Drosophila melanogaster: one gene and its partner. The protein of the gene in region 2 interacts with the protein of the main gene of each other region in a pairwise test. Each region holds a gene or a part of one and is shown on either strand. Other genes may lie near its edges.

Region 1 (5,761 bases), on a different chromosome or scaffold from region 2:
CTATGACAACTATTTTGCATCACTCCTGCTCCTCCAGCGAGTCCGAGCCGATTGTCTCTAAACACCTCTCTTTCGATTCCCGCAGTATTGGAAGGCACCGCGCATCCAGCGGGCCACCACACTCACCTCGTCCATGTCCCTGCCGGCGGAGTGCCTGGTTCTCTCCGTATCCATGCCCTCGCTCAACTCGGAGCCCAAGCGTCCCAAGAGCGCGGGACCCAAGAAGAAGCCCGGCCAGGCCGTCCACTCGAAGCCATTCCGCCTATATTGAGCCTGTCGAGGAAGGAGCTGCTCCACAAGTCGCACGTGACGTCACCCAATCGAAGCACTCAGAGATTTGTGCACAAGTTGATATCGAGGCACGCACTTCTAAAACATGCATATGCAGAATACATTTTATCAAACCGTTGATTGTTTAGAACCGAAATGGAAACGAAACTTGGCATTTACAACATAACAATAAACGACTAAATGAGAGGCAAAGTTAAGCACAAAATACAGCTGTGGTTTGTTTGTTTGTTTCTTTATATAATTACAGTATATATTTTCGTAAGTATTAAATCTGTTTCACGGCTACTACATCGCTGGAGCCAAACGGCCTTCGTTTACATTTCATTTACATAAGACTTGCGTTTGATTTTCTATATATAATTAGTACAAAAATTGTCCTGGGATTTCGTTACGTCTCATTGCGTCTTTATCATCGTGCTCATTGTGTGTTTGGAAAACTGTGTGCTTTTCTTGGTTTCTTTAGGTTTTGTATTCGTTTTTGATTCTTGTTCCTTTCGATTATTCGAGTCGCGTCACATTTAAATGCATTTAGTTGCCTTTTTCCATTTACATCATCCTTTTGCTCTACTTAAGCCATAAAAGTTGTTTATACAATTCGTTTTTAAAGTTAGGGTAATAAATAGGTCATTATAAAATAATAAACAACAGTTGTTACATTTTCAAAAGACATCGTCAAATGAGCTTCAAGTGATTATGATTATGATTCGAGGGTCGAGTTAGAATTAAAAAAATGCGCATGCTTGAATATCATAAAAAGTGGCTTCTCTAAGAGCTCGTCGTCAAGTGAATTGGCCTGGTTTCAGATTTGGTTAGCTGCGGATTGGCTGCCTTAGCTCATGGCTATATATAACTATAATACATTTAATGGGAAACTAGGAAATGCATAGATGCTCGTGATATGCGAAACCAATGTTTGCTGCGGTTGTTATAATTTTCTCTTTCTGCCAGATACTATTCGTACAATACATTCGATTCAATTGACTAGATTTCTACATATGTAGTGCATTAGATTTATGATTTATCTGTGGTACCGATTTTGTTAACAATGTTTTTTTTAGTTGTTGCGGGAGGGAATCGTGGTTTGCCAAATGTGTGACAGCAACGATCCGCAGAAAAAAACAGCCAAACAAAGAGAAATTTCATACGAATTTTGATGGCAGTACATTTCGATTCACAGAATTTCGTACAATATTTATCGTTTGTTTAGAGTTTCTTTCCGGGTTCGGTGCCTTTTACGAGAGTACGGAGAATTTTATAAATAAATACATGTAATTGATTTGTCGATGAGGGCGCTGCGTGAGTGTCAATTTGTTGTGGCCATTGTGCCGGTGTACGTGTCGCTTCCGAGGAATCTCTATACTTCGCCAAAGCCAATAACATTCTACCTTATTTACATTATTAAACACTTTCGCTGGCGTCGCTTTAGCGGCTCTGGTCTGAGCACCGCGCGCACCGCTTCCTCGAACACCTGAATTTGCAATCGGAGTGGGAAGGGAAATTTAATGATGAATAAGGGGTAGGTGGAGGGTGTGCCGGGCACCGATGACTTACCGGCTTGAGACCGCGCTGCGTCAAGGCGGAGCACTCCATGTATTTCACAGCGCGTATCTTGTTTGCCAGCTTCTGGCCCTGCTCGCGCTTCAGCGGCGTCAGTCCCTGCTCTGCCAGGCCGCTGAGTGTCTCTCGATCTTCGCGCAAATCGATTTTGGTGCCTGGAATACGCCCAAAGATATATGTATGATTCTCGTTTTCTGATTGCAGTTTTCATGTCGCTTGGCAACTTACCAACTAGAATGATGGGCGCATCGGGACAGTGGTGCTTTATCTCCGGATACCATTTCGAGGTGACGTTCTCAAAGGACGAGGGACTCGCCACGCTGTAGCATATCAGGAAAACGTCTGTCTGCGGGTAGGATAGCGGTCTCAGGCGGTCGTAGTCCTCCTGACCCGCCGTATCCCACAGTCCCAGCGAGACCTGTATTGTGTCCACTTGCATGGGCGCCGAGTAGTTGTCGAAGCTGTGAAAGATATCATAGTAAAAGTTAGATATCGATCTGCGGTTTGCGGCTATCGAGGCACAAACTTACACTGTGGGCACATATTCGCCGGGAAAGCAGTCTGTCGTGTAGGAGATTAGCATGCAGGTCTTTCCGACGGTGCCGTCACCAACGACTACACACTTTATGGGCCTTCCGGTTGACATCGTGAGTGTGCTGAGTGTGCCTGTGCCGATAGCTGTGTACTGTCTGTGTGCTGTGGGCAAAATAAGATGGAAGATGAATGTCTTCGCCAGCTTAATTCAATTAATTAAGTTCTATTCGAGGCAATAAACCCGCCAGTGCCAACTGACCGCAAATTATTTCACAGTCGTACTTCCTTAATAAAAATTCTTTAAAATAGAAACAAATGCTGTAGAAATACATATATGACACAATAAATTATCCTATTCGTTTTATTAGGTTTTTATAAATAAATTAACTACCACATCGTTTTTGGCGCGCAACTACATATATATAAGATAAACAATTGCTTAAATGGAATTTGGCAACTTTTAAAATTTGAATATCTAGACAAATTGAATCAGGATACTTGCTTCCTGAGTCGCAAACTATTTATATTGTATTAATGGAAGTTATACTTATTGGAGTATGCTACATCGTAAAGTGGGAATGTCCAAGCTGTGGAAGTACTACTGTACAGAGTATAATGGCGAAGGTCTACGGTATATCTCTGGGATGATCAAAGGCAGGGCTCTCGAAAGGTGTGTCCCGGCCGCAAAAAGAAAGCAACCGCAGCGGCGGAGGCCCATAAAGCCTAATAAAACGAACGAGGGTCTCATTTCGGTTGCGGTGGCACTTTGTTTTCGCAAATAAAATTTTCAAAAATAGATCATGATGGGCGACACAGACGGGGAAAAACAAAAAGCATAAATGGGAGCAGCGGACCAAATGGCGACCGCCCCTCCAGTGGCGCCCCTTCGGCGGTGGGCGGGGTCGCCCGAGTGTTGTGGTGACGCGGAAGCCACCGGCAGACGCACCGCATCGAGAAAAAGAAACACAAAATGGGAAAATGAACCGCCCGAAAATAGACACAATTAAGTTCTCATAACCGATTCAATTAAAGTTCAACACACAGAGGCGGCACATATTGCGCCACATGCAACGGGGCTGGGCGTGGCCGCGGGGGCGGGTGCGGTAGCAATGAAAATCTTTTGTTGTGGCACAACACCGAATGGGAATACAATATTATTTTACCGTTTTCACCACCACCTATCCTTTTCCTTTGTCTGTCGGCAGGCGGCGACTGTTTTGTACTTGGCTTATATCACTGTGCGTTTTCCGGCTACCGATATGCGTTCGAGGCGATGGTCCATGCGGCGCATTTAAATAATTGATTCGCACTATTTCGCAGCGGCTTTTACTTATAAATATCTGTTTGAGGGACAAAACGCAGCGTCCCCGAATAATTTTCGTGTTTTTCCTTTTTGTTTCCACTCCACACAAACACACACCCACCTTTTTGACAGCGCAGCGACGCTCTCTCTCTCGCCGTTGACAGTGGTGCCAACTTAGGGCCAGAAAATAGCTGACGGTAAATATAAAAAAATCACTTAAATGTATGGTACCAATAACTAAACTTAATAAGCATATCATCCAGTATAAAGTCGTTTTTCTTTTTCCAAAACTAAAATAAACTTTTTTTTACAATTGGCACTTAAAAATCAGCTAGACTTGGCGTGAAAAAAGAGAGCGGGTAGTCCAGCTCCGCTCTCTCGAAACTGACAAGCAGTGCTGCAAAAGGTGCAGGGCTCAGGCGGATTTGGCATTATACAATACTAATAGGCATGGTTGTGGGAGAGGGGTTGCAACCAATTTTCACATTGTAAACAAAATTATTTATTTAATTCTATTTCGAGCAGAATATTGTAATAATTACCTGTTAATTAAAAAATTATCATTTTAAAATTATCTTATGTAAGTTCAATACCCTTTAATTGCTATCGACTACGCCCATGCTGCCTATGTCCACTGTTGTTGTTTCGAGCGTCGTAATGAGCAGATTTGTTTATAAACTTTTACAGAGTGCAAACCAAACTAGTTCGGGCTGCAGACGCATTTCTTTGGCTACTGTAAGAAATGCGGAAAGCGAATCTCAAGAGGGTGCCCCTGCCCGCACAGTTCTGGTGGAGAAGGACTCGCACATAACACTTATTGGCCTAAATCGCGAGCAGCAGCGTAATTCCATTGATGCCAACACCGCGGAGCAGCTGACCGAAGCCATTAGCCAATTCGAAGCGGATGATACTTCTCCAGTGGGTGTGCTCTACGGCATAGGTGGCTCCTTTTGTGCAGGCTATGATCTGGAGGAGCTAGAGGCGGAGGCGCAACGCGGCAGCCTCAACTTTCTGTTGCGTCACGAGGGCTCCGTCGGACCAACTAGGCGGCATCTCCGCAAGCCACTTGTTTGCGGCATCAGCGGTTTCTGTGTGGCCGGTGGATTGGAACTGGCTCTAATGTGCGATCTCCGGGTGATGGAGGACACTGCAGTTCTGGGGTTCTTCAACCGTCGCCTTGGAGTTCCCCTGAGCGATGGTGGAACTGTGCGGCTGGCCGCTGCAGTGGGTTACTCCAATGCCTTGGAGATCATCGCAACTGGAAGACGCATCTACTCTGGGGAGGCGCGGCGAATCGGTTTAGTGAATCGCGTTGTGGCCACAGGCACAGCTTTAGGTCAAGCTGTTAATCTGGCCTTTTCCATTGCCAAGTTCCCCATGGCTTCCCTAATGCACGACAGGAATGCTGTGCTTGAAAATGCCAATGCCTACAACAAACCAGGATTCCATGTGGCCAGTTACAATGAGATCATGAATGTTACCTCAGATATGATAACAGATATGCAGGAGGGCGTGAAGCGTTTCAAGAACTGTGAGTAGTGTTCGTGTTCATTCCTAGAAACACTTTGTTACCTTCCTTTTTTATATTTTAGCTGAAATAAAGGGCCCCAAAACCGATTCGTGGAGCATAAAGGAGAAAACCATTCCAGATTGGGAAAAGGCCGAAATCGAGATCGAAAAACAAAAGCAAAAGACATGACATATGTAGTTAGCTGATATATACAAAACTTCTGTTCTTCTGGTTAGTTGCAATACTTTGTTGTTATATATAAAACGAAAGCCTTTATTCACGTAAAATACATTTATTTAATGATTTATGTAGTTGACCGCCTAAATCGCTTACGACTCGCGCTTATTTCAATATTCACAACAATTACAATAACGAATTTTCCTTGAAATTAAGCCTAACTACAAAAAAGAGTTGAGAGGAAAAGCACAAAGTTCGGTATTCCTTGCTGTCGATCGATTCAACATTCACAATTAGTTTACACTTATAAAAAATATGCTAGCGTCGAGTAATCGGACTTGTCCTCTTACTTACAATGAATTTTTGTTATCAAGTGCGCTGGGCCAAGC
Region 2 (3,623 bases):
GAAAGTGAAGGTGTTTTTTAAATTCCACATGTTATTTTATTGAGTTTAAAAATTAGTTATTTAAGCCCGTACTATTTTCAGTGGTAGTTAAATCTGAAGGCAGTCCTGCTGCCATGCTACCCATAGACAGGTGAATCAAGCTTTCAGCTGCCATCCAGCGAGGAGAATTCTGCGTGCGGCAAAAGTTTTCATGCATATTCAACATCATTAGAAAGTCAGGACAAAGTAGCTGAAGGCAGAAAGGCAAGAGCCTTCGTGGAAAGTAAAACAAACCCGTTTAGGGCGCTAAAATGTAGGCTATAAATTATGTCATAGGTATAGTCGACCTTTCTCCACGGAGCTTCCTTTCTTCCAGTCTGCCGTAAGTGGGCTTGAAAGGAGTGCATTTAGAAAGTTCTGAAAAGCGTCTTAATTGCAACGACGTTGGAAAATACCTGTAGAATTTAATTCTTCGCGCTGGAAGCGTATTAAATTCAGAAAAAATGTAATTACTTACTAAAAGGGAAATCCCTTATAAGCACCTATGGTATAGGAAAAAAATACACAAATTGAGAGAGTAAGGAAGCAATTTACTGAGTTGCATGTAGGTGTGAAAACAAATGGAAAATAAATATATAAATTTGCCATTCCGTGGGACCTACATGACCAGACAGCACTTTTTGGCCGGTCTGGCGGAGTGGCGATTCTGAAAGCCATTCCTTTTTTCCTCATCTAAAGGTTCCTCCACATCACCCACAGTTTCGCGAACTTCCATTGCCTGGCTAACTGATGTGCTTCCTAGCTTGGGATCATAGGACTCGGCTCCGATATTCATGGCCTGGACTTCGTCAAACTCCAGTTCGCCAACCTCCTCCTCGCCAGGATCCAGGCTGTAAACGAAACCCGGATGGCGCAGACCCTGCTGCTGCTGGATGCTGGCCTCACGCCAGATGGACTCGTAACGGGGCTCGTAGCATATGTCCTCCGAGGTTGCCGTACTCCACCGGGTGTACGTAGATACTGCATGGGTATTAAATTTATAAATCCATCAGGAAATTAAAAAGAAATAAATAAATGCACAATACTAAAAACCTATGCAAGTCAAAGCATAATATATATAAAGGGCTTCAAAATACAATATATATTGTTTTAAATAAACATTATTTCCTTTCCGTACTTACACTCATCAAATAGCTTTTTGGCCACCTGGCTGGCCTTGAAGTCGGGCACAAACACAGGTGCGTTGGGGTTTAGGCGTCGGTCCAGCGGTCGGCTAACGACGGGGGGCGTGTCGCCCGCGGCGGGCGGAGGGCAGCTGCCAGGAGTCGAATGGGCGTCACCCACTTCCCCTGCAAGTTCGCTGGTCGATGCGGTGGCGGTGTCCTTCAACATGGTCAGCAGAGCACTTAACACTTGAATAGTTTTTCAAATCTACATTTGAGTTCCGGCCGGACGATTTCAAGTAGCTTTTCTATTCTGCTTAAATGCTCAGTTGACAATTATGGCAGGGCAAACTACCTGATTATTTGATTTTCTTACCGGTATTCAGTGCCAAATATTAATGAATGACCAAAGACAGCCGCTTCCAAAATATTTTGCCAAAACTTTGGTATTGGCCGATTTTTGCTATGAGGGTGTTTATCTCTCAACGTTTGTCTTCACGAAGTAATTTGTGTTCCTACTATTTTTAATGCTTGGCCTTTGAAATTTAATTGGATAAGTAATGAAAAGTCAACTACGATTAAAGCTACACTATTATTTACATACACAATTTATGATTGCAGAACGTACAACTCAATTAAATAGAAAACTATTTCAAAAAAAGTAAGTTAACCATGCTCCTTTGTCCCGATTCCTTGTAATTTCTTTGAAATGTCAAAGGTTATTTACCTCCATTCAATTTCTGTTAGATTGTTATTTTGAGGATTTATGGGTTTATCCATCTTATTGGGGCTTAACCCGAAAACTGCTTCAAATCCATGCATGCCATAATTCGATTTCATAAATTTGATTCCACTTTCAACTGTCATGTTTGCTCCGCTTTTCTCGTTGCAAATAAAGTTTGACTTTTAATTAAATGGCCGAACTTACAATAATTTTAATAAGCCGTATAAATAAATTATAACAAATTTCACACAAAGTGAGATAAAATTGCCTAAAACTCATCCTGACATTCCATCTTGCTGGTGCGTGTGTGTCAAATTTAATTTTGTGAATACCGCAAATTGACAAATATTTTCGTTTGGCCAACAAGAAGAAGACCAAAAGCACCCAGCACTCTAATTCAATCTGGCTGGTGTATTTTAATTGATTTGCGCTAAAATTTATTGATTTCATTTTGTCAACAGTTGTTGCCAGATGAACCGCAAAGAACGCCTGAAAACCTCAGACCCATTCACCCATTCAGCCATTTGCCCAACTTGAGCTCATTATGGCAGCTTCAGCCCCCTTGGAACCCAATATTTGCATTCATTTTGTGTGTGTGCTAATTTGCATGTGCGAGTGTGTTAAAACATAAATTAGTTGACTCTGCCGACACACCCACACAATCGAATAAAATAAAGAGAAAGGGGTTAGAGAAAGTTTCAACCGAGAACCGAGAATTTATTGCCAATTCATTGCATTCGCGCTGCTGTATCGAGCGATTTCGCTAACCGAACAAATAGCGGTTTTAACTGTTTTTAGTTAATTGCGCAAATTACTTGCGCTAATTTATTGGCCATTTTGTGGAATAGACAAGGTTTTTCAGCTTATAGGTTTAGTCCGACTAATTTGTTAGTTTCTGAAGGGATGTTTTTTTTTTTTTTGACTTCTTATTCTATACATTTTGTGTAAAAAAATACCATGTAGTTCTTCCTGTTTCAATAACACTATTAAGCCATTTGACAATTATCTTCGACAGTCATAAATCCGTTAAATTAAATAAAAGGCCAAAGTTTATTTAGCTACTCAATCAGGGACACAAACAACACTCAAATTGTTGGACAGTTTCAGATTCAAATGGCAAGCGGTGGTCGAAGGGCAAAGTAAATAGATGAAACGAAGTCTTCGCACTTTTGTAAAGTTGCTGCTCAGTGTTGGCGTATTTCCCTTGAAGGAGTAACGTATCATATCTTTTATTCAGCTTTGAATGAAGAAGTCATGTCAGAATATGCCTCAGATATAAACCGTTAATATAAAAACGAATAATATTAAATTGTATTATATTACATTATATTATTTGTGAAGGGAAAGTAGCCAAGATGACAGCTCTGGTCGCTCAGCAGTCAGTCAGTCACCCACTTGGTCAGTCACATGGGCTGCACATTCAAGTGTCACTGATTTGAGGATAAGCACTTCACAGGCAACTTGATAGCCCCCCAATCCGGACCCCCTCCATATATATATGTATATACATATATCTTTGTGTATGTATGTATGCTGTAGTGGCATTGGAGCGGTTGTGCCGTGTTCCGACGGGTTGCTTGGTTGCCTGGCCAGTCAGCCGTGGTCGGGAAATATCACAGCAGTACTCTCTCTCATTCGAGGGCCACTCGTGCAAAGCGAACTAATTTGAATGTATAAAATCAGCAGCACTGCCGGGAAGCCCCACAGGGACAGACATACATATCCGCAATAATATATATAAAGGGACAGCAGATAGA

The links. The genes of interacting proteins can lie anywhere in the genome.
Region 1: the proteins of CG15136 (region 2) and Mtl interact in a two-hybrid assay, tested with the Drosophila melanogaster proteins (one large-scale study listed by BioGRID).

The regions. Positions count from the first base shown.
Region 1 is NT_033777.3:27,634,621-27,640,381, reverse strand, and holds Mtl (Mig-2-like), read right to left. Parts: upstream 3,834-5,761; 5' UTR 3,546-3,833; intron 3,522-3,545; exon of another isoform or gene 3,329-3,521; intron 2,545-3,328; 5' UTR 2,495-2,544; coding exon 2,379-2,494; intron 2,310-2,378; coding exon 2,077-2,309; intron 2,004-2,076; coding exon 1,843-2,003; intron 1,760-1,842; coding exon 1,682-1,759; 3' UTR 511-1,681; downstream 1-510. Other genes in the region: CG5611 (uncharacterized protein), read left to right, coding at 4,343-5,216, 5,278-5,384.
Region 2 is NT_033779.5:17,046,611-17,050,233, forward strand, and holds CG15136 (uncharacterized protein), read right to left. Parts: upstream 1,672-3,623; 5' UTR 1,519-1,671; intron 1,459-1,518; exon of another isoform or gene 1,456-1,458; 5' UTR 1,372-1,455; coding exon 1,161-1,371; intron 1,000-1,160; coding exon 638-999; 3' UTR 551-637; downstream 1-550.